3 linked regions of the Saccharomyces cerevisiae S288C genome follow. Changing the gene in region 1 together with any one later gene gives a genetic interaction. Each region holds a gene or a part of one and is shown on either strand. Other genes may lie near its edges.

What was found. Genes that interact genetically often act in the same process or in processes that back each other up.
Region 2: mutations in LSC1 (region 1) and ACH1 together harm fitness more than expected from each alone (negative genetic interaction), as found in Saccharomyces cerevisiae (3 studies listed by BioGRID).
Region 3: mutations in LSC1 (region 1) and OAR1 together harm fitness more than expected from each alone (negative genetic interaction), as found in Saccharomyces cerevisiae (4 studies listed by BioGRID).

The regions. Positions count from the first base shown.
Region 1 is NC_001147.6:591,173-598,876, forward strand, and holds LSC1 (succinate--CoA ligase (GDP-forming) subunit alpha), read left to right. Parts: upstream 1-1,884; coding exon 1,885-2,874; downstream 2,875-7,704. Other genes in the region: ARP8 (Arp8p), read right to left, coding at 1-1,415; YOR142W-A (gag protein), read left to right, coding at 3,940-5,262. UniProt on the Saccharomyces cerevisiae protein: Succinyl-CoA synthetase functions in the citric acid cycle (TCA), coupling the hydrolysis of succinyl-CoA to the synthesis of ATP and thus represents the only step of substrate-level phosphorylation in the TCA.
Region 2 is NC_001134.8:190,472-198,711, reverse strand, and holds ACH1 (acetyl-CoA hydrolase), read right to left. Parts: upstream 4,591-8,240; coding exon 3,010-4,590; downstream 1-3,009. Other genes in the region: mitogen-activated serine/threonine-protein kinase FUS3, read right to left, coding at 5,200-6,261; PEP1 (type I sorting receptor), read left to right, coding at 7,129-8,240. UniProt on the Saccharomyces cerevisiae protein: Presumably involved in regulating the intracellular acetyl-CoA pool for fatty acid and cholesterol synthesis and fatty acid oxidation. It may be involved in overall regulation of acetylation during melatonin synthesis.
Region 3 is NC_001143.9:332,312-339,943, reverse strand, and holds OAR1 (3-oxoacyl-[acyl-carrier-protein] reductase (NADPH)), read left to right. Parts: upstream 1-3,786; coding exon 3,787-4,623; downstream 4,624-7,632. Other genes in the region: ASK1 (Ask1p), read left to right, coding at 1-276; MDM35 (Mdm35p), read left to right, coding at 502-762; DNA damage-responsive RNA polymerase-degradation factor DEF1, read left to right, coding at 1,191-3,407; TMA19 (Tma19p), read left to right, coding at 5,029-5,532; NUP120 (Nup120p), read left to right, coding at 5,975-7,632. UniProt on the Saccharomyces cerevisiae protein: Involved in biosynthesis of fatty acids in mitochondria.

The DNA of each region.
Region 1 (7,704 bases):
GTGAGTAGAACTCTAATGAACGTCTCTACGTGACTTTTCTTGAATATGTCTGGTATCACCAACACGACCTTGTACTGATTAAATTTGGTAGGCTTAACGTTTAAAGTCTCTGAGTTAAGTGCATGCTCCAAAAGCTTGGTAACGTCTGAGATTAATTCTGCCAACGATTTATAATATGGTGACTTGACATTAAAAGAGCCACCTCTGAAAGGCTTTCTAATAACAAATTTTTCGTCCACGCACCTCAATGCATCTGAACCATAGTATAATTTTGAGTCATCAAATATCCATTCTATAGGAGATGGATCATTTTTCTCTGAAATAATCTCAGGTTTGGAATTTTCATTGAAAGATACTACCTGTTCGTGAGCATTACCTGGTACCTTTCTTTTATAATACCTCATACGTTCTCTAAAATTCTTTTCCATCTCCGACTTTATGTTGTTAAACTCTTCTGACTGTTCTCTTTGAAGGCAAACGTTTTCAACATGTTCACTATTTTCAAGATCCAGCCATTTTTTAGGTACCGCTACACAATTTGGAACTACGACAGGATGGTCATCTTTGGGAAATCCTATCTTTATAGAATTTGATCCAGGATGTATCACGATAGTTGCTGTTGGATCATTTAGATCTATCTCGTCATTAAGTGGTGCTGCACTCGCTTCTGAGTGGGGCAAACTCTTTAAATCTATAACATCTGGTGTGTTGGTACTAGATATTTGGCTAGTGTTGTTATTTCTCAAAAATTTTCTATCTCTAAGTGCAAATATTTGATCGTCTTTTTTCAGATAATCTGATGAGTAGTTTTTTTGGTTGATTAACATTAAAGGTTGGAACAGGCCAGTGGCAGGTAAAGTAGTTGTCTCCACTTTCTCAATGCCAATTTTTTTCAACGTCTTGGCAAATTCTTCAGCAGCTTTAATACGTCCTAGTCTCCTCTTCTCCAAAAGATGTAGCGGGACTTTCTTCCCGGGAGGTGCTTTTGCGGGATCTAGCTTCGGATATTTCTTATAACGTTTACTAGTCTGCACAGCAGGTGGTGCCCTCTTATCTCTAGAGCTCCCTAATTCATTTTCATTTTCGTTGGCATTATCATTATCATTTTCGTCCTCATTGTCAACATCATTGTCGTCTTCGTCTTCATCTTCGTCTTCCCCTTCTTCATCTTCATCTTCTTCGTCTGCAACGTCTCTTGGGTCAACAGAAAGACCTGTTACACTTCTGGGTGTCTCAGATCCAACTACGTTATCGACACTATCGTCTGACTCATTCTCCGCATTTTCTTGATCCGCCTGGCTGCTTAAAGGTACGCTATTTTCTTCTTCCAGTTCATCCTCATCGTCATCATCCTCTAACGGAATATCAATGGGTTCCTCATAAATAATACTGGATTCTGCTTCTTCTTGCGACATGTTAGGTGCGATTGTATCCCTGTATTTATGTACTATTGACTAGTAATTTACCTGAAAGTGTTTGCTACTTCGTGGGCGTTCATCATCTCCATTTATTCATATTGCCATTCTCAAATAAGTCATCTTGCACGGCCCAACCAGCGGCTGGATAACGGATCTACCCCAACCTCGGACCCAAAGTTGCTGCTATAAAAACAGAAACAAAAAAGGCGTTTCTCGAGACTGATATCCAGATGGTAATAGAGCCCTTAAGTGCTTTGCAATTGTCAATTAAGTATCCTTGTTCGAGAGTTGTTCACAGCACACTGCGTATATATAGGCTTACCACAGTTGGATTTAATCAAGCGATATAAAAGCTGGAAGGAGACAAGTTTCCCCTAATTGTTGTTCTGTTTGTTACTTACCACTCTATATACGTTCGATTTCATAGAAAATTTCTTTTGCAGACCATTTATTCTTCAGTTTGATAATGTTAAGATCTACCGTTTCAAAAGCTTCTCTCAAAATTTGTCGTCACTTTCACAGAGAATCTATTCCTTACGATAAGACGATCAAAAATTTGCTGCTTCCCAAGGACACCAAGGTGATCTTTCAGGGGTTCACAGGTAAACAAGGTACTTTTCATGCCAGCATCTCTCAAGAATATGGTACAAATGTTGTGGGTGGTACGAACCCAAAAAAGGCGGGTCAAACACATTTAGGCCAACCTGTCTTTGCCTCTGTGAAGGACGCGATTAAGGAGACTGGAGCCACTGCCAGTGCCATCTTTGTTCCTCCACCGATCGCAGCTGCTGCCATTAAAGAATCTATTGAAGCTGAAATTCCGTTAGCTGTATGTATCACTGAAGGTATTCCTCAACATGACATGTTATACATTGCAGAAATGTTGCAGACACAAGATAAAACAAGATTAGTTGGGCCCAACTGCCCTGGTATCATTAACCCAGCAACAAAGGTAAGAATTGGTATCCAGCCCCCAAAAATTTTTCAAGCTGGTAAAATCGGTATTATTTCCAGATCGGGAACTTTGACATACGAAGCTGTTCAGCAAACTACAAAAACTGACCTTGGTCAATCACTGGTTATTGGTATGGGTGGTGATGCTTTTCCCGGTACTGATTTTATTGACGCCTTGAAATTATTTCTAGAAGATGAAACTACAGAAGGTATTATTATGTTAGGTGAAATAGGTGGTAAGGCCGAAATCGAAGCTGCTCAATTTCTCAAAGAATACAACTTTAGCAGGAGTAAGCCGATGCCGGTGGCATCTTTCATCGCAGGAACTGTTGCTGGTCAAATGAAAGGTGTTAGAATGGGTCACTCCGGTGCAATTGTAGAAGGATCTGGAACTGATGCAGAATCCAAAAAACAAGCTTTGAGAGATGTTGGTGTTGCCGTCGTTGAATCTCCAGGTTACTTAGGTCAAGCTTTACTGGATCAATTTGCCAAATTTAAATGATTATATTAGGAAGAGAATGAACTGCTTTCAAAAGAGGAAGACTTCTATGTCTCGATTATTGCTTAGACAAGTATGGAGCTGACATCCGTTTTCTTTTCAGAGCTTTTACTCAACATTCTATGTTAATTTTTCCCTTTGTATATATTCATTTATCCTTATAAATTCTACTAAAAATCTTTTAATAGTGTTTGTATTTAATGTTCTTCTTAACAAGGGTATACATAAAGGTTGATTAAAGCTTAATAATTGAAATGGAAAAAAAAATAACAAAACGTCTGAATTTCCTAGTCTGTTTTGCAAAAACAGATGCGCAAGCCGGGAATCGAACCCGGGCCTCATGCTTGGGAAGCATAAATTCTAACCACTGAACCACTTGCGCGTTTCAATCAATTTGGGAAGACTCAGCACGTTATATACTATTAATGAAAAATTTCCTTCTTAGTAATGACACTGATAAATAGGTAAGTGTTGGAATTAAAATCAACTATCGTCTAACAACTAGTAGTCACACTACCAATATATTATCATACACGGTGTTAGACGATGACATAAGATATGAGAAACTGTCATCGAAGTTAGACGAAGCTGAAATGCAAGGATTGATAACGTAATAGGATAATAAAACATATAGAACAGAAGGAGAAATAATCATAGTATTATTATGTAGAAATATAGATTCCTTTTTGAGGACTCCTATATCCTCGAGGAGAACTACACATAATATTATATATAACCTTTGCCAAAAAAAGGAATGCCAAAAATTATCAAACTATTTGTTGGAATAAAAATCCACTATCGTCTATCAACTAATAGTTATATTATCAATATATTATCATATACGGTGTTAAGATGATGACATAAGTTATGAGAAGCTGTCATCGAAGTTAGAGGAAGCTGAAGTGCAAGGATTGATAATGTAATAGGATAATGAAACATATAAAACGGAATGAGGAATAATCGTAATATTAGTATGTAGAAATATAGATTCCATTTTGAGGATTCCTATATCCTCGAGGAGAACTTCTAGTATATTCTGTATACCTAATATTATAGCCTTTATCAACAATGGAATCCCAACAATTATCTAATTACCCACATATATCTCATGGTAGCGCCTGTGCTTCGGTTACTTCTAAGGAAGTCCACACAAATCAAGATCCGTTAGACGTTTCAGCTTCCAAAATTCAAGAATATGATAAGGCTTCCACTAAGGCTAACTCTCAACAGACAACAACACCTGCTTCATCAGCTGTTCCAGAGAACCCCCATCATGCCTCTCCTCAACCTGCTTCAGTACCACCTCCACAGAATGGGCCGTACCCACAGCAGTGCATGATGACCCAAAACCAAGCCAATCCATCTGGTTGGTCATTTTACGGACACCCATCTATGATTCCGTATACACCTTATCAAATGTCGCCTATGTACTTTCCACCTGGGCCACAATCACAGTTTCCGCAGTATCCATCATCAGTTGGAACGCCTCTGAGCACTCCATCACCTGAGTCAGGTAATACATTTACTGATTCATCCTCAGCGGACTCTGATATGACATCCACTAAAAAATATGTCAGACCACCACCAATGTTAACCTCACCTAATGACTTTCCAAATTGGGTTAAAACATACATCAAATTTTTACAAAACTCGAATCTCGGTGGTATTATTCCGACAGTAAACGGAAAACCCGTACGTCCGATCACTGATGATGAACTCACCTTCTTGTATAACACTTTTCAAATATTTGCTCCCTCTCAATTCCTACCTACCTGGGTCAAAGACATCCTATCCGTTGATTATACGGATATCATGAAAATTCTTTCCAAAAGTATTGAAAAAATGCAATCTGATACCCAAGAGGCAAACGACATTGTGACCCTGGCAAATTTGCAATATAATGGCAGTACACCTGCAGATGCATTTGAAACAAAAGTCACAAACATTATCGACAGACTGAACAATAATGGCATTCATATCAATAACAAGGTCGCATGTCAATTAATTATGAGAGGTCTATCTGGCGAATATAAATTTTTACGCTACACACGTCATCGACATCTAAATATGACAGTCGCTGAACTGTTCTTAGATATCCATGCTATTTATGAAGAACAACAGGGATCGAGAAACAGCAAACCTAATTACAGGAGAAATCCGAGTGATGAGAAGAATGATTCTCGCAGCTATACGAATACAACCAAACCCAAAGTTATAGCTCGGAATCCTCAAAAAACAAATAATTCGAAATCGAAAACAGCCAGGGCTCACAATGTATCCACATCTAATAACTCTCCCAGCACGGACAACGATTCCATCAGTAAATCAACTACTGAACCGATTCAATTGAACAATAAGCACGACCTTCATCTTAGGCCAGAAACTTACTGAATCTACAGTAAATCATACTAATCATTCTGATGATGAACTCCCTGGACACCTCCTTCTCGATTCAGGAGCATCACGAACCCTTATAAGATCTGCTCATCACATACACTCAGCATCATCTAATCCTGACATAAACGTAGTTGATGCTCAAAAAAGAAATATACCAATTAACGCTATTGGTGACCTACAATTTCACTTCCAGGACAACACCAAAACATCAATAAAGGTATTGCACACTCCTAACATAGCCTATGACTTACTCAGTTTGAATGAATTGGCTGCAGTAGATATCACAGCATGCTTTACCAAAAACGTCTTAGAACGGTCTGACGGCACTGTACTTGCACCTATCGTAAAATATGGAGACTTTTACTGGGTATCTAAAAAGTACTTGCTTCCATCAAATATCTCCGTACCCACCATCAATAATGTCCATACAAGTGAAAGTACACGCAAATATCCTTATCCTTTCATTCATCGAATGCTTGCGCATGCCAATGCACAGACAATTCGATACTCACTTAAAAATAACACCATCACGTATTTTAACGAATCAGATGTCGACTGGTCTAGTGCTATTGACTATCAATGTCCTGATTGTTTAATCGGCAAAAGCACCAAACACAGACATATCAAAGGTTCACGACTAAAATACCAAAATTCATACGAACCCTTTCAATACCTACATACTGACATATTTGGTCCAGTTCACAACCTACCAAAAAGTGCACCATCCTATTTCATCTCATTTACTGATGAGACAACAAAATTCCGTTGGGTTTATCCATTACACGACCGTCGCGAGGACTCTATCCTCGATGTTTTTACTACGATACTAGCTTTTATTAAAAACCAGTTTCAGGCCAGTGTCTTAGTTATACAAATGGACCGTGGTTCTGAGTATACTAACAGAACTCTCCATAAATTCCTTGAAAAAAATGGTATAACTCCATGCTATACAACCACAGCGGATTCCCGAGCACATGGAGTCGCTGAACGGCTGAACCGTACCTTATTAGATGACTGCCGTACTCAACTGCAATGTAGTGGTTTACCGAACCATTTATGGTTCTCTGCAATCGAATTTTCTACTATTGTGAGAAATTCACTAGCTTCACCTAAAAGCAAAAAATCTGCAAGACAACATGCTGGCTTGGCAGGACTTGATATCAGTACTTTGTTACCTTTCGGTCAACCTGTTATCGTCAATGATCACAACCCTAACTCCAAAATACATCCTCGTGGCATCCCAGGCTACGCTCTACATCCGTCTCGAAACTCTTATGGATATATCATCTATCTTCCATCCTTAAAGAAGACAGTAGATACAACTAACTATGTTATTCTTCAGGGCAAGGAATCCAGATTAGATCAATTCAATTACGACGCACTCACTTTCGATGAAGACTTAAACCGTTTAACTGCTTCATATCATTCGTTCATTGCGTCAAATGAGATCCAAGAATCCAATGATCTTAACATAGAATCTGACCATGACTTCCAATCCGACATTGAACTACATCCTGAGCAACCGAGAAATGTCCTTTCAAAAGCTGTGAGTCCAACCGATTCCACACCTCCGTCAACTCATACTGAAGATTCGAAACGTGTTTCTAAAACCAATATTCGCGCACCCAGAGAAGTTGACCCCAACATATCTGAATCTAATATTCTTCCATCAAAGAAGAGATCTAGCACCCCCCAAATTTCCAATATCGAGAGTACCGGTTCGGGTGGTATGCATAAATTAAATGTTCCTTTACTTGCTCCCATGTCCCAATCTAACACACATGAGTCGTCGCACGCCAGTAAATCTAAAGATTTCAGACACTCAGACTCGTACAGTGAAAATGAGACTAATCATACAAACGTACCAATATCCAGTACGGGTGGTACCAACAACAAAACTGTTCCGCAGATAAGTGACCAAGAGACTGAGAAAAGGATTATACACCGTTCACCTTCAATCGATGCTTCTCCACCGGAAAATAATTCATCGCACAATATTGTTCCTATCAAAACGCCAACTACTGTTTCTGAACAGAATACCGAGGAATCTATCATCGCTGATCTCCCACTCCCTGATCTACCTCCAGAATCTCCTACCGAATTCCCTGACCCATTTAAAGAACTCCCACCGATAAATTCTCGTCAAACTAATTCCAGTTTGGGTGGTATTGGTGACTCTAATGCCTATACTACTATCAACAGTAAGAAAAGATCATTAGAAGATAATGAAACTGAAATTAAGGTATCACGAGACACATGGAATACTAAGAATATGCGTAGTTTAGAACCTCCGAGATCGAAGAAACGAATTCACCTGATTGCAGCTGTAAAAGCAGTAAAATCAATCAAACCAATACGAACAACCTTACGATACGATGAGGCAATCACCTATAATAAAGATATTAAAGAAAAAGAAAAATATATCGAGGCATACCA
Region 2 (8,240 bases), on another chromosome or scaffold:
TTTAAGTATACTTAAAAGCTTTCAATAACTTTCCGGACAGAAATCTCCAGTAAATTTTATGTGGCCTACACAAGGGTAATCCTGCATAGATTTAATTAAAGTGGCGGTTAAGTCCCGGTTGAATGGACTTCTCAGACTTATCCTTATTTTAATAATGATACAAGATTAAATATGGAATGTTCCACTGCTAATCTAACATTAACTAGAATGCTGTATGTACCAGAATGATTTTTTTTAGTATGTCTTTGTTTACTTATTTAATCTCGGCTTACCTTTTTTTTTATGCACTAATTTAATGATTAGGCAAGCTTATTGTTAAACAAGAAAAAACTTCAAAGTACATTGAAAAAAAAAGGAAATGTAATCAATTCCCCTCAAAATAAATTTTCTTACAAACCCATGATAGTTTGGAATAAGAAACATCATCTATTGACTAATATCCATCTTACTAGTCAACAGATGTGTTGGAATGAAAGTCTATAATATCATCTGTTTAGTTGTATTCGTGTTACTAGTTTATTATCACGTGCGGTGTAAGAAGATGATATTAGGATTTCATTCCAATGGTTTGCAATTACCCTTTTAAGTAGCCATTGATATTTTGTGGCATTTGTTATCTTTCAACACATGTTATTATAAACTACTTACCAAAAAAAGTGTTGTATTACGGGCTCGAGTAATATCGGAGTGTCTTGACAATCCTAATATGAACAGTCTTAGGGAAGTAACCAGTTGTCAAAACGGTTTATCAGATTAATTCACGGAATGTTACTTATCTTATATATTATATAAAATATGAATCATACTAAGTGGTGGAAGCGCGGAATCTCGGATCTAAACTAATTGTTCAGGCATTTATACTTTTGGGTAGTTCAGCTAGGGAAGGCCGGGTTTTATCTCATGTTGTTCGTTTTGTTATAAGGTTGTTTCATATGTGTTTTATGAACGTTCAGGATGACGTATTGTCATACTGACGTATCTCATTTTGAGATACAACACTTCCAAGAAATAAGCGCAAGTGGTTTAGTGGTAAAATCCAACGTTGCCATCGTTGGGCCCCCGGTTCGATTCCGGGCTTGCGCAATTCTTTTTGATTTTTATTTTTATATAAAAAATAAACGACGTTATTTGAATTGCAAAAAAATGGTCTCTAGCGGGATCGAACCGCTGATCCCCGCGTTATTAGCACGGTGCCTTAACCAACTGGGCCAAGAGACCTTGATTACTGGTTAACGTGCTTGAAGAAGAAAAACATCAGGGACAGATGAAAACCTTCATTTACTTAGCATGCATTTTTTTAATCTCCTTTTTCGTTGTAGATATTGTTGAATAAGGATCAATTATATGATATTGATTAGTAGCAACAGTTTTACCATTTTTTAGACAGAATCTGTTGAAGGAATAATCAACGATCATCTATCGATTAGTATCATACACAGTGTAAGAATGACATGGAGTTGAGAAACAGTCATCAAAAGTAATGAAAGCTGAGATGTGATAATTGCTGATTCAATAGGATAATAAACGACTACATGTAAAGCCAAAGAAAAAATAGTATTATCATATAAAATTGCCGGTTCTCTTGTGGAAGTCTTACATCCTTGAGAAGAACTTAGGGTATAATTTACACACCTATATTATTGTCTTTTACGTAAACAGGATCTAAAAAATAATCTTAAAATATGTCTATTTCCCAAATATTAATGAAGTATACAGTAAAATATACGTACATTCACAGAAAAAAAAATGCCTCCATACTATGGAAAAACAGCGTATTGCTCAGTGATTGTAATAACAAAATTTTTGACCTTGAACCAACTTGTCAATAACGATTATTAGAGTTATCAGAACGAGCAAATACGAGCGATGTAAGGATAAATGGTAAAAATGGATACATGGCGTAGCTAGGGATGGCGATGATGAAAAATAAAACAACTAAAAGATGTAAAGCAAATATGAAGTTTATGCTGCCCATGACTGTATTGTGAATTTGTTTGCTGTTGAGATTGTTGTCGTTATTTTCATGCCATTCATTTTATTATGGTCCTAATATTATACACGCTGCTATATATAAGTTACGTATCATAGCGGCACAATCTGTTGAACATTTCTGGCGGCCTGTTGAACCTTCAAATGGGCGAGCTGTTGAACAGTTTTGGCCAACCTGCACCCAGGGCTATTACATACACAACAATTTGCAGTGTCGACTTATCTATCTGCCCTCTTGCTGTCCACATGTGTTGAGTGTCATGTGTAGATTTTTACTTTTTCTACTTCTGTTATCTTTCCAAACTTTGTCTATTAAACCACTCAATTGAACTAATTTCTTTGATGAGCCGTTTTTTTTTTCTTAGTCCTCTGGATCAAACCAAATTGCTTACCAATCCTTCCACCACTGATAGATAACACACATCCGGTTGTTGTTGATAAGTGTATTATGCTAATCGGCGTCCCTTAAATTCAATGGTGAGAAGAAAAAAGCGATGATCCTTGCCTTCAAGCGCGCGCAAACAATAACCACTTATTAGCTTGAAGCTAAATTGCGGAGAAGGCTGTTCACAAACATGGATTCCAATATTAATTCCATAATAGGAGAAAAAAAATCATTGTAAGGTATACATGCATCATTACAGATAAGTTGGGCGGTTCAGAGCTTGGTTTTGTATTACCCTGGCATTTTTACATTGACCTAAGCAAGAGAACTACCCTGACGTCATCAGCGAAATTCGTTGAAATTAATATAAGGGTTGATGACTTTCAACCTCTTAGTTTTTTTTACTAATCACTACTTAATACATAATTATTGTGTAAACATATAAATATACAGTACTACCTGTGAATTAACTAGACGTCATGCGTATTGATTAACTCCCTCCATGAGCGCAAAAAGTATAAATATGCAAGAAAAAACAACGCATTGGATAAAAGCTTTATAAACATAAAATCATAATCATATCATTTCCTTTCTTTTTTTTGTTAAATACTCATCTCTCGGTTTGCGCACAAACACTAGTCAACTGGTTCCCAGCTGTCGACCTTCATTGTACCCTTTTCAGCTAAGTTGGTGTGGAACTTGAAAGCATTCTTTAGCATGTGTGGTTCATGCAAGCAATTGTGCTTTTTAGCGTAATGCTCTGCTCTGTCCAAGTAATCGGTCAACAAAGCTTGATAATCGGGATGAGCACACTTGTTGATGATTTCACGGGCTCTTTCCTTAGGCGATAGACCTCTTAGATCCGCCAAACCTTGGTCAGTGACCAAGATGTCCAGGTCATGCTCAGTTTGATCTACATGAGAGGCCATAGGAACAATGGTAGAGATACCGGTAGGGTCTACTTTAGTTGGTCTTGCAGAGGGGGCATGCATGATGGACAACTTTGCATTTCTCAAGAAATCAGCAGATCCACCCAACCCGTTCAACATACGGGAACCATTCACATTTGTAGAATTGGCGTGCGCGTAAATGTCAACTTCTACTGGGGTATTCATGGCGATGACACCCAATCTACGGATCATTTCCGGATTGTTCGAGACAACTTGAGATCTCAAACACAATCTGTGTTTGAAATTTTCCCAGTTTGCAAAGGCTCTGTCGAAACCCTTTTCAGTCAATCTCACGGAAGTAGCAGTGGCGTAGTCCAAAGATCCGTTCTCGAAAAGATCCAAGAACGAGTCCTGCAGCACTTCCGTCCATACAGTCAAGTGCTTGAATTGGGCGCCAGCAAGCCCTTCAATGACAGCGTTAGCAATGTTACCTATACCACTTTGTAAAGGCAGCAGGTTTTCAGGTAGCCTACCATGTTTTACCTCGTTTCTGAAAAACTCGACCAAATGACCTGCAATAGCCCTGGACATGTCGTCAGAGGGCGTATTTGGTGGGACCTGGTCCCTCATGGTGGACTCCACAATCGCAACAACCTTTTCAGGATCAACCGGGATGGAGTCAACACCACACTTGTCGTCCACTTTCAGATATGGGTATGGTTTCCTGAAAGGTGGGTTCACGGGCATGTCTATATCGTGAATACCCTCGAACGAAGGCGTAGCCGTGTTAACCTCAATAATCACTTTATCACTGACTGTAATGAATTCTGGAGAACCACCGACAGAGGGACCTGGGACGATAGACCCGTCCTCTTTAATGGCCGTTGCCTCGATTATAGTATAATCAAGGATTTTGTTGTCTTTTCTTTCCCTGGTGTAGAACCCGTATGTCAGATCCTGAGGGAACATGGACAGATGTTTATCAAAGAACTCAATTCTACCCTGGTTAATTGCCTTTGCAATGGGTTTCCCTACTTGATGAGGGGCTCTCTTAATGATCATGTCGTGTTCAGCCCAACGGTTTTCCTCTGGACCAGCAGAAGCTCCAACAAAAAGGTTGAATCTCAACTTCCCTTGTAAATTGTTCTTCTCCACGTGATCTATCAGTGCCTCCGGCACTGCCTTGGGAGTACCCACTCCTGTAAAACCGGACCACCCAAGGTACTGACCATTCTTGAACAATGGAATAAGCTCGTGAGCTTCCTTAACTTTTTTCAGATAGGGAGCATACCTAACTCTCTGCTTTAACAAATTAGAAATTGTCATTTTAGTGCAATATGTGAAAAAGAAAAAAAGAAATGTGTTGTTTGTTTTGCCGCTATTGTCTAGTAAGACGGTCTCTTGCTGCTTTGTGTGCTAATGTAAGCCCGGTGGGCACAAGACAAAAGAAGGGGTAGAACACATCTAACGTCTATATATACACAGCAACTTGATTACACATTTGCTCCAGCAAGCGCTTACCGTCCACAATACAGTGGTCATCCATACAATCACTACTTTGGTAGTTTGACGCTCCGATGGGATTGGCTGTTGCGGATGTGGTTGAGGGCGTTGTCCTCGAGGCCAATCAGCAGCGCGCATTGCCCGCCTTTGGCCCGGCGGGCCGCGCGTCGCAGGGGATGATGCTAGTCACCTATATGGATCACCCCTTGTGGTTCTTCATTTTTTTTTTCTTCAATTAACAGCCGCCGACGGCCCGTGGCGCGCGATCACGGAGTTGCGTAACTGCTCCCCTTAGCTCCATATAAGTATTGTCCTTTTATACGTCCGCGTCCTCAGCGGCTAATACGTATGTCATATGTACATATGTATATGTGTACGTATATGTATATGTATACATTGTTCTTCGGGTTGATATTTTAATGATAATGATGGCTAACTAAATATTTCGTTCCAAATGAGTTTCTTGAGGTCTTTCGTCGTTAGTGCCTCCTTGTAGTGATCAAACTCGAAGAAGCTGGGTGGGATGGGTTCGCCTTCAGGTTCGTCGTTTGGATCGTGGTATGTTTGCAAATACGGATGCTCCAGTGCCTCCTTAGCAGTAATCCTCTTCGCAGGGTCAAAAACAAGCATACGCTGTAAAAGATCTATGCCTTTCGGGTTGACTCGAGGGAACATCTTCTCCAGTGGCGCGGCAGGGTACATGGGAAGCGACTTTATGTACTCTCTAGCCCTGGGTGACTCTATACACCGCAAATCATTATCTGAGTGAGGTGTACCGATGATACCGAATATCAGTAGTAGTTGATGGCGATAATCTCTGCCAGGGAAGATTGGCCGTCTTAAGAAAAGTTCAGCGAGAATACATCCGCAGGACCACACGTCCATGGCCCTTGAGTATTTGGCAGAGGTTAACATCACCTCTGGCGCCCTGTACCAACGTGTGGCCACATACTCGGTCATGCCGCTTTGCTGACCTGTGGGCTCTGAATTGTCCGCGGCTGACTCGTCAATGATTCTTGCTAAACCGAAATCACATACTTTCAAGTCACAGTTGGAGTTTATGAGAAGGTTGGAGGGCTTTAAATCACGATGGATGACGTTCGAACCATGCAGCACTTTCACTGCTCTCAAGGTTTGGTATATAAAATATTGTATATGATCGTCACTCAGCATCTGGGTGGAGATTACACGGTGTAAATCTGTCTGCATTAGCTCTTGAATTATGTAGACCTCATTGAAGTTTTCGAACGAGTCAGGGCGTTGAATGTTGAAGATTGTTATGATATTTTCGTGCTTGAAGTGCTTCAGGATCTTTATTTCACGCAGCGTACGTAATGCGAACAAAGGCTTATCGAATGGTTCGATCTTTTTTATTGCCACGATTTCTCCCGTGGGCTTATGCGTTGCAGAACATACCACACCGTATGCACCCTCTCCCAGTAACGACTTCAACTGGAAGTCACTGGATATATTGTATACAATTCTCTTTGGCATATTATTTTCCTTTCTTTTTCTCTGCCTTATTTCCTTGTAGTTCAAACGAACTAGCTATTAGAAGAAAGAAAATGATTACAACGTATATATAGTTTCTGAGAGGCAAGAGTAAAAAGTTATGATATATTAGTATGTTGCTTTTCTGCAATTGTTTCAATGCCCTGTAAAAAACCGCATCATCTAAAATCTGAGAGAATGCAGAAACAAAAAAAAAAAAAGTAAAAATTTCGAGTAAAAGAATTTTGAGTTCCAGGGTGAAACAGATCTAAAACTCAAGAGCTTATGCATTGCTTGTAGGTACATCACATTTTACTTCAGAAAGATAAAAGAGTATGTGAAAGTAAACTGCCCTCTCCAGTTAACTCTTCCCAAACTAAAAAGTATCCGCCTGTGCGGACTACAAGCACTACCGCCCCTTGAATGAACACCAAAAGATGTGTGTAAGTTAAAAAGTCCGAACGAATTTATCCTTATGTATGTTCTTTTGAACGTCAAGTAGTCAATCTCTCCAACTACTCGGGTCTTTATATGGATCGCGTGATGTTTTAAGCCTTCTTTCCTCTAGTTTAGTGCAGTCGCTGCTTTTTTCTCGGGCTGAGTACGGCGAAAAGAAGGAAAAACCAAGGTCAAAAAATAACCTCTAAATAACAGCATGATGCAACAGCTCAAAAGACCTCTCAAGAAGCACAAAAAAAGGAGGCGAGTAGGTGGTACTATTTCATTCTACTAAGATCTTTAAAGCAATTCCTTTCCGGTTTTTTTCTCAACTACCGTACTCTTTTTCCTTTTTTATTTTGCCCTTAGATTGTATTATAAAGCTCTGTATATCTGGAAAAGCCCTGAAGTGTCCAGTAGTCATCACACGTTATGATATTACTTCATTTTGTCTATTCTCTTTGGGCCTTACTTCTCATTCCTTTAACTAATGCCGAAGAATTCACCCCCAAAGTGACAAAGACTATCGCGCAAGATTCATTTGATATATTAAGCTTTGATGATTCCAACACTTTAATTAGAAAACAAGACACCTCCGTTACTATAAGCTTTGACGATGGTGAAACATGGGAAAAAGTTGAAGGCATTGAAGGCGAAATCACTTGGATATACATCGACCCCTTCAATAGACATGACAGAGCCGTTGCAACGGCAATGAATGGGTCGTACCTTTATATAACCAATGATCAAGGTAAGTCATGGGAGCGTATAACGCTACCTGACTCCGGAGAAAGTATTTCACCTCGTGAATGCTATATAGAAACCCATCCCTTGAATAAGAACTATTTTCTTGCAAAGTGCAACTATTGTGAGAAAACAGAAGTAAACAATGACAATGAAGAGAATTCGGGGGACGAAGAGGGACAATTTGAAATATTTAATATTACACGTTGCACAGACAAGGTTTTTGCAAGTAATGATGGTGGAAAATCCTTTTCTGAGATCAAGTCTTCTCTAGAAAGGAACGAAAATAGTCCTATCAGCATTTCTGATTGTGGCTTTGCCAAGACCAGCAAAGATTCTGACCTTGAAAGTAGTGATACCTCAATAATCTGTCTTTTTCAAAATATGCAGCTTATTATGGATGAGTTTAGTTCTCCTTACACCGAAAGTAAATTGGTCCTAACTACGGACTGGGGCAAATCACTAAAAGAATTTGACCAATTTAAAGATAAGGTCGTCAATGGTTACAGGATATTGAAATCTCACATGGTTGTCTTAACCCAGGGCGACAGATATAATGATATGTCTTCCATGGATGTGTGGGTATCAAATGATCTGTCAAACTTTAAAATGGCTTACATGCCTACTCAGTTAAGGCATTCTATGCAAGGAGAAATATATGAGGACGCTATGGGAAGAATTATCTTGCCCATGAGTAGGGAAAGAAGTGATCAAGAGGAGGATAAGGGCATCGTGTCTGAAATTTTAATTTCCGACTCACAAGGGTTAAAATTTTCCCCCATCCCATGGACCGCAAATGA
Region 3 (7,632 bases), on another chromosome or scaffold:
CTTTTGCAGCAGCAGTACGGGTCTAGTTCCAGCATGGTACCGTCTCCGATTGTGCCCAATAAAATGCGGAAGCAACTGGCTCATGAAGAACATATTAATAACGACGGCGATAACGACGATGAGAACAGCAATAATATAGAGAGCTCGCCTCTGAAGCAGGGGCACCACCACCCGAAGGGACAAGCGGATGATAACAACGAAGGGCCCGATGAAGAAGAGAGTACGAAAGAAGTACCAAAGCCTGGGACCATCATTCATTTTTCTACGAATAGATAGAATAAATAAGTACATACAATTTTTACTAGTGATGAATATCAGAACGCAGGGTAATGGGCCCGCTATATTTTTTCTTCGATATAGGGAGAGCCACATTCAGAATATTCAGAGTATTTGCATGTAGAAATTTATTCTAAGTGCGCCAGATATATGCCGGGAGAGGTCATTAGAAAACATCTGTTTGTGTTTTAACTTGAATTACAATAACAATAATACCAGTTTTATATGGGGAATATAATGTCAGCTAGTTTTGCGCCTGAATGCACTGACCTGAAGACGAAATACGATAGTTGTTTTAATGAATGGTATAGCGAAAAATTCCTGAAGGGAAAATCCGTTGAGAACGAGTGCTCAAAACAATGGTACGCTTATACTACATGTGTCAACGCAGCTCTCGTCAAACAAGGTATTAAGCCTGCTCTAGACGAAGCTAGGGAGGAGGCGCCGTTTGAAAATGGCGGCAAACTAAAAGAAGTTGACAAATGAAGTATATATTTTAGCACAGAATGTGCATTATTCAACATGTAAATACTAATACTGCAATATCGACTTATAATAATGTATAGTGATCCGTATATTAATAGATCTGTTTCAATTCTTTACCTTTTTAGGATATCCGTCACCCGTGATTCCGTCGGAGGTGAGCACTCGCCCAAATAAATAACGGGAAATGGTGGCAAAAAGTAGTGGCGGGAAAAGGAAAAATTTTCGTTCTCTCCCATATAAACGTTTCATTCCTTTTCCTAAGTCTTTTACAGTAATTTCAGAAACATTCGTATTTTATATTTGATCTTTTGAAGCTACAAGAAAAACTCTTACCAATTACCCCAAAAAAATCACCATCATAAAGTACTTACATATTTATTTTTGTTTGGTCGTTTTCTCAATATAATCTACATCATCATATATATATAATGTCTACACAATTTAGGAAGTCTAATCATAATAGTCATAGTAGTAAAAAACTAAATCCTGCGCTAAAGTCCAAAATAGATACGCTTACAGAATTGTTCCCTGACTGGACGAGTGATGATTTAATTGATATAGTTCAAGAATATGATGATTTGGAAACTATAATTGATAAAATTACTTCCGGCGCAGTGACAAGATGGGATGAAGTAAAGAAACCTGCTAAGAAGGAAAAATATGAAAAAAAGGAGCAACAACACTCATATGTCCCTCAACAACATTTGCCAAATCCAGAAGATGATATTACATATAAGAGTTCTAATAATAGCAATTCTTTTACTTCTACAAAGCATAACAGTAGTAACAATTATACTCAAGCCAGAAATAAGAAGAAGGTACAAACACCACGAGCTCATACAACCGGGAAACATGTTAATCTCGACAAGGGGAAGCACGTACCATCCAAGCCTGTTTCAAACACTACATCGTGGGCAGCAGCTGTTTCTGTAGATACTAAACATGACGTTCCTCAAGATTCAAATGATAACAATAATGAAGAATTAGAAGCACAAGGGCAACAAGCGCAGGAGAAAAATCAAGAAAAAGAGCAAGAAGAGCAACAACAGCAGGAAGGGCATAATAACAAAGAAGAACACAAACAAATAGAGCAACCTTCTTTATCTTCAAAGAAAACAACTTCTAGGACATCTGCTTCACAACCAAAGAAAATGTCGTGGGCTGCAATTGCTACACCAAAGCCAAAGGCTGTTAAAAAGACCGAGTCTCCTCTTGAAAACGTTGCTGAATTGAAGAAAGAAATAAGCGATATTAAGAAGGATGACCAAAAGTCTGAAGCTAGTGAAGAAAAAGTTAATGAACAAGAAACATCTGCACAAGAACAAGAGGAGGAGACTGCTGAACCTTCTGAAGAAAATGAAGACAGAGTCCCTGAAGTGGACGGAGAAGAAGTCCAAGAAGAAGCTGAAAAAAAGGAACAAGTAAAAGAAGAGGAACAGACAGCGGAAGAGCTGGAACAAGAACAAGATAATGTTGCTGCTCCAGAAGAAGAAGTTACAGTTGTTGAAGAAAAGGTTGAAATTAGTGCTGTTATTTCAGAGCCTCCAGAAGATCAAGCTAATACTGTACCTCAACCACAACAACAATCCCAACAACCACAGCAACCACAGCAACCACAGCAACCACAGCAACCACAGCAACCACAGCAACAACAACAACCACAGCAACCACAACAACCACAACAACAACTACAACAGCAACAGCAACAGCAACAACAACCAGTACAAGCTCAAGCTCAAGCCCAAGAAGAACAATTATCTCAAAACTACTATACTCAACAACAGCAGCAACAATACGCTCAACAACAGCATCAGTTACAGCAACAGTATTTGTCCCAACAACAACAATATGCTCAGCAACAGCAACAGCATCCACAACCTCAATCACAACAACCTCAATCACAGCAAAGTCCACAAAGTCAAAAACAAGGGAACAACGTGGCTGCCCAACAGTACTACATGTATCAAAACCAATTTCCTGGATATTCTTATCCAGGTATGTTTGATTCACAAGGATACGCTTACGGTCAACAATATCAGCAACTTGCTCAAAACAACGCTCAAACTAGTGGTAATGCTAACCAATATAATTTCCAACAAGGTTATGGTCAAGCAGGCGCGAACACTGCTGCTGCTAATTTGACTAGTGCTGCCGCTGCTGCTGCCGCTTCTCCAGCTACAGCTCACGCCCAACCTCAACAACAACAGCCATACGGTGGCTCATTCATGCCATACTACGCCCACTTTTACCAACAGTCATTCCCATATGGTCAACCTCAATACGGTGTAGCTGGTCAATATCCATACCAGTTACCAAAGAACAATTACAACTATTACCAAACTCAAAACGGTCAGGAACAGCAAAGTCCAAATCAAGGTGTTGCCCAGCATTCTGAAGACTCTCAACAGAAGCAATCACAACAGCAACAGCAACAGCAACCTCAAGGTCAACCCCAACCTGAAGTTCAAATGCAAAATGGCCAACCTGTTAACCCACAACAACAAATGCAGTTCCAACAATACTATCAATTCCAACAACAACAGCAACAAGCTGCTGCCGCTGCCGCTGCTGCTGCCCAACAAGGTGTACCATATGGCTACAACGGTTATGATTACAATTCTAAAAATTCAAGAGGTTTCTACTAATAAGGGAGAAGTAGAACCTCCCACATAAAAAACGAAATGGGGAATAAAATACAATGAATTTAAATACACATTTTATTACCACTATTATGTTTTACTTTCTTCAATGTTTGGGCAAGGATTCCATATCCTTTTGATGATGTCATATATCATTTAAATTTTGCATATATATATATACGTACGTAAATAATAAAAGGTATATATATGTTGTGTTATCTATCTAGCTAGCTGTGTCTTTATTTTGCGGGGTTTTGGAAATGCCACTTTTTCTGTTTTATATATCACAGCGTCAAAATTTCCGCCGTTACTGTTTGCAACTGATGAGAACTATGGAATACACATGAGTACATTGGTATAGACGTGGGAGAAGAAAAGTCTGGAAATGCATTATTTGCCTGTTGCGATAGTAACAGGTGCCACTAGGGGTATAGGCAAGGCAATATGTCAAAAGTTATTTCAAAAGGGTTTAAGTTGCATTATACTTGGGTCTACTAAAGAAAGTATAGAGCGCACCGCGATAGATAGAGGCCAATTACAATCGGGATTATCATATCAGCGGCAATGTGCTATAGCAATTGATTTTAAGAAATGGCCTCACTGGCTTGACTATGAGTCATATGACGGTATCGAATATTTCAAAGATAGACCGCCCTTGAAACAGAAATATTCCACATTGTTCGACCCATGTAACAAATGGTCAAATAATGAACGCCGCTACTACGTAAACTTATTGATTAACTGCGCAGGCTTGACTCAAGAATCATTAAGTGTAAGAACCACTGCATCTCAAATTCAGGACATAATGAATGTTAACTTTATGAGCCCTGTGACGATGACAAACATCTGTATTAAGTATATGATGAAGTCGCAAAGGAGATGGCCGGAACTCAGTGGTCAATCTGCTCGACCCACCATCGTAAATATTTCCTCCATTCTACACTCCGGAAAAATGAAGGTTCCAGGTACATCTGTTTACTCCGCCTCTAAAGCCGCACTGTCCAGATTTACAGAAGTTTTAGCTGCAGAAATGGAACCAAGAAACATTAGGTGTTTTACGATATCTCCAGGTTTAGTCAAAGGGACCGATATGATCCAAAATTTGCCAGTGGAGGCTAAAGAAATGCTGGAGAGAACCATTGGGGCAAGCGGTACAAGCGCACCCGCTGAAATAGCGGAAGAAGTCTGGTCTCTATACAGTAGAACTGCTTTGGAGACGTAAAAGAAAATCGAAACAAATAATAGATTTGTGTCTGTTCAATGTGTATATCGATGAGCTCAGTGAACACATTTTCACATCACGTTTCTTTTTTTTCTTTTTTCCGCTAAGAAAAATTTTCCAGAATTTTTCAGAGGCAAAACAAAACTCATCGATTTCGCACGCATTTCTCGTAGAATTGATATTTTTTTATTTTTTTATTGGTTTTTTTTTTTTTTTTCACTTTTTTTTCTTCCTTTCATGATATTTATAAGGAGAAGTATTTCAATTGGGACTTAAAAAAAAATTTTATTTTGGTTAATGTTTTCATTCAATGGTTTACTACTTTCATTTTAGCTTTTTAACAATTTTCTTTCTGGGGTCTCAGTTGCGGTTAGCAGATTAACACAGAACATACTATAGACAAATATGATTATTTACAAGGATATCTTCTCTAACGACGAATTGTTGTCTGATGCTTACGACGCTAAGTTAGTTGATGACGTTATCTACGAAGCCGACTGTGCTATGGTCAATGTCGGAGGTGACAACATCGATATCGGTGCTAACCCATCTGCTGAAGGTGGTGACGATGATGTTGAAGAAGGTGCTGAAATGGTCAACAACGTTGTCCACTCTTTCCGTCTACAACAAACCGCTTTTGACAAGAAGTCCTTCTTGACCTACATTAAGGGTTACATGAAGGCTGTTAAAGCTAAGTTGCAAGAAACTAACCCAGAAGAAGTTCCTAAATTCGAAAAGGGTGCTCAAACTTACGTCAAGAAGGTTATTGGTTCTTTCAAGGACTGGGAGTTCTTCACTGGTGAATCCATGGACCCAGATGCCATGGTTGTCATGTTGAACTACCGTGAAGATGGTACCACTCCATTTGTTGCCATCTGGAAGCACGGTATTGTGGAAGAAAAGATCTAAGTCTAGCGAAATTAGAAAAATTTTCGTATTTTGTATTTGAATTTGAGAGTAGGACTCCCCTTTCTCATTTTTAATGTATATGTAACCTCTCTCTCTTTTTTCTCTGCATCAACTTTTTAGCTTCTATTCTTTGATTCTATAGGTATCTAAACTTCCTAATTACTTCTTAACACGCATTAGGACGTTTTTAATTATTCTATGATTTTATTAAGACACGTTTATCAATTGCCGTAGATATGTATAGTTCATCAATATTTTCTTTTCCATTACCCTACAGAACTTTCATGTTTTTTGTTTTCCTGTCTTTTTCTCCAATTACGTGAAAAAAAAATTGAATTGAAATAGCATGAGAAGCTGAGAAACAAGTAGAAATTGACGAAATCCAACGTTCATAAGCATTTTTCAAGAGGTCGCAATTTCACTCGTACACAACTGACCTATTATGGCATGCCTCTCAAGAATTGATGCAAATTTGCTCCAATATTATGAAAAACCTGAACCCAATAATACGGTTGATTTATACGTCAGTAATAACAGTAATAATAACGGGCTGAAAGAAGGAGATAAGTCCATCTCTACACCAGTTCCTCAGCCTTACGGAAGTGAATATTCCAATTGTTTGTTATTGAGTAACTCTGAGTATATCTGTTACCATTTTTCCTCAAGATCAACATTGTTGACATTTTATCCTTTGAGTGACGCATACCATGGGAAGACAATTAATATACACTTACCAAATGCTTCTATGAATCAGAGATACACTTTAACGATACAAGAAGTGGAACAGCAATTACTGGTTAATGTTATCTTAAAAGATGGTTCGTTTTTAACGTTACAACTACCCCTAAGTTTCCTATTTTCATCGGCCAACACTCTCAATGGAGAGTGGTTTCATCTCCAAAATCCCTACGACTTTACAGTTAGAGTTCCTCATTTCCTTTTCTATGTATCACCCCAGTTCTCAGTTGTTTTTTTGGAAGATGGCGGTTTGTTGGGTTTAAAAAAAGTTGACGGCGTACATTACGAGCCTTTACTATTCAATGATAATTCATACTTGAAAAGCCTAACGCGATTTTTTTCTAGGAGTTCTAAATCGGATTACGATAGTGTGATTAGTTGTAAATTATTCCATGAAAGATACTTAATTGTGTTGACTCAGAATTGCCACTTGAAAATTTGGGATTTAACTTCATTTACTTTAATACAAGATTATGATATGGTTTCACAGTCAGATTCAGACCCAAGCCATTTTAGAAAAGTGGAAGCTGTAGGGGAATACCTTTCCTTGTATAACAATACTCTAGTTACATTGTTGCCTTTGGAAAATGGGCTTTTTCAAATGGGCACCTTGTTGGTTGATTCAAGCGGTATTTTGACTTATACTTTTCAAAATAACATCCCCACTAATCTTTCAGCTTCTGCTATTTGGTCAATTGTAGATTTAGTTCTAACGAGACCATTGGAGTTGAATGTCGAGGCTAGTTATTTAAATTTGATCGTTTTATGGAAAAGTGGCACTGCTAGCAAGTTACAGATACTAAACGTAAATGATGAAAGTTTCAAAAACTATGAATGGATAGAATCAGTTAACAAATCCTTAGTAGATTTGCAATCCGAACATGATTTGGATATCGTTACAAAGACTGGAGATGTTGAGAGGGGTTTCTGTAATTTGAAATCAAGATATGGTACCCAAATTTTTGAACGTGCACAGCAAATATTGAGTGAAAATAAGATTATTATGGCTCATAACGAAGATGAAGAATATTTGGCTAATTTAGAAACAATATTGAGAGACGTAAAAACCGCATTCAACGAGGCTTCTTCTATAACACTTTATGGCGATGAAATTATTCTCGTCAATTGTTTCCAACCGTATAATCATTCCCTTTACAAGCTGAATACTACTGTGGAGAATTGGTTTTATAATATGCACTCTGAAACTGATGGTTCTGAATTGTTCAAGTATTTAAGGACATTGAATGGTTTTGCTTCTACTTTGTCAAATGATGTTCTTAGATCCATTTCTAAGAAGTTTCTTGATATAATAACAGGAGAGCTGCCTGATTCTATGACTACCGTAGAAAAATTTACGGACAT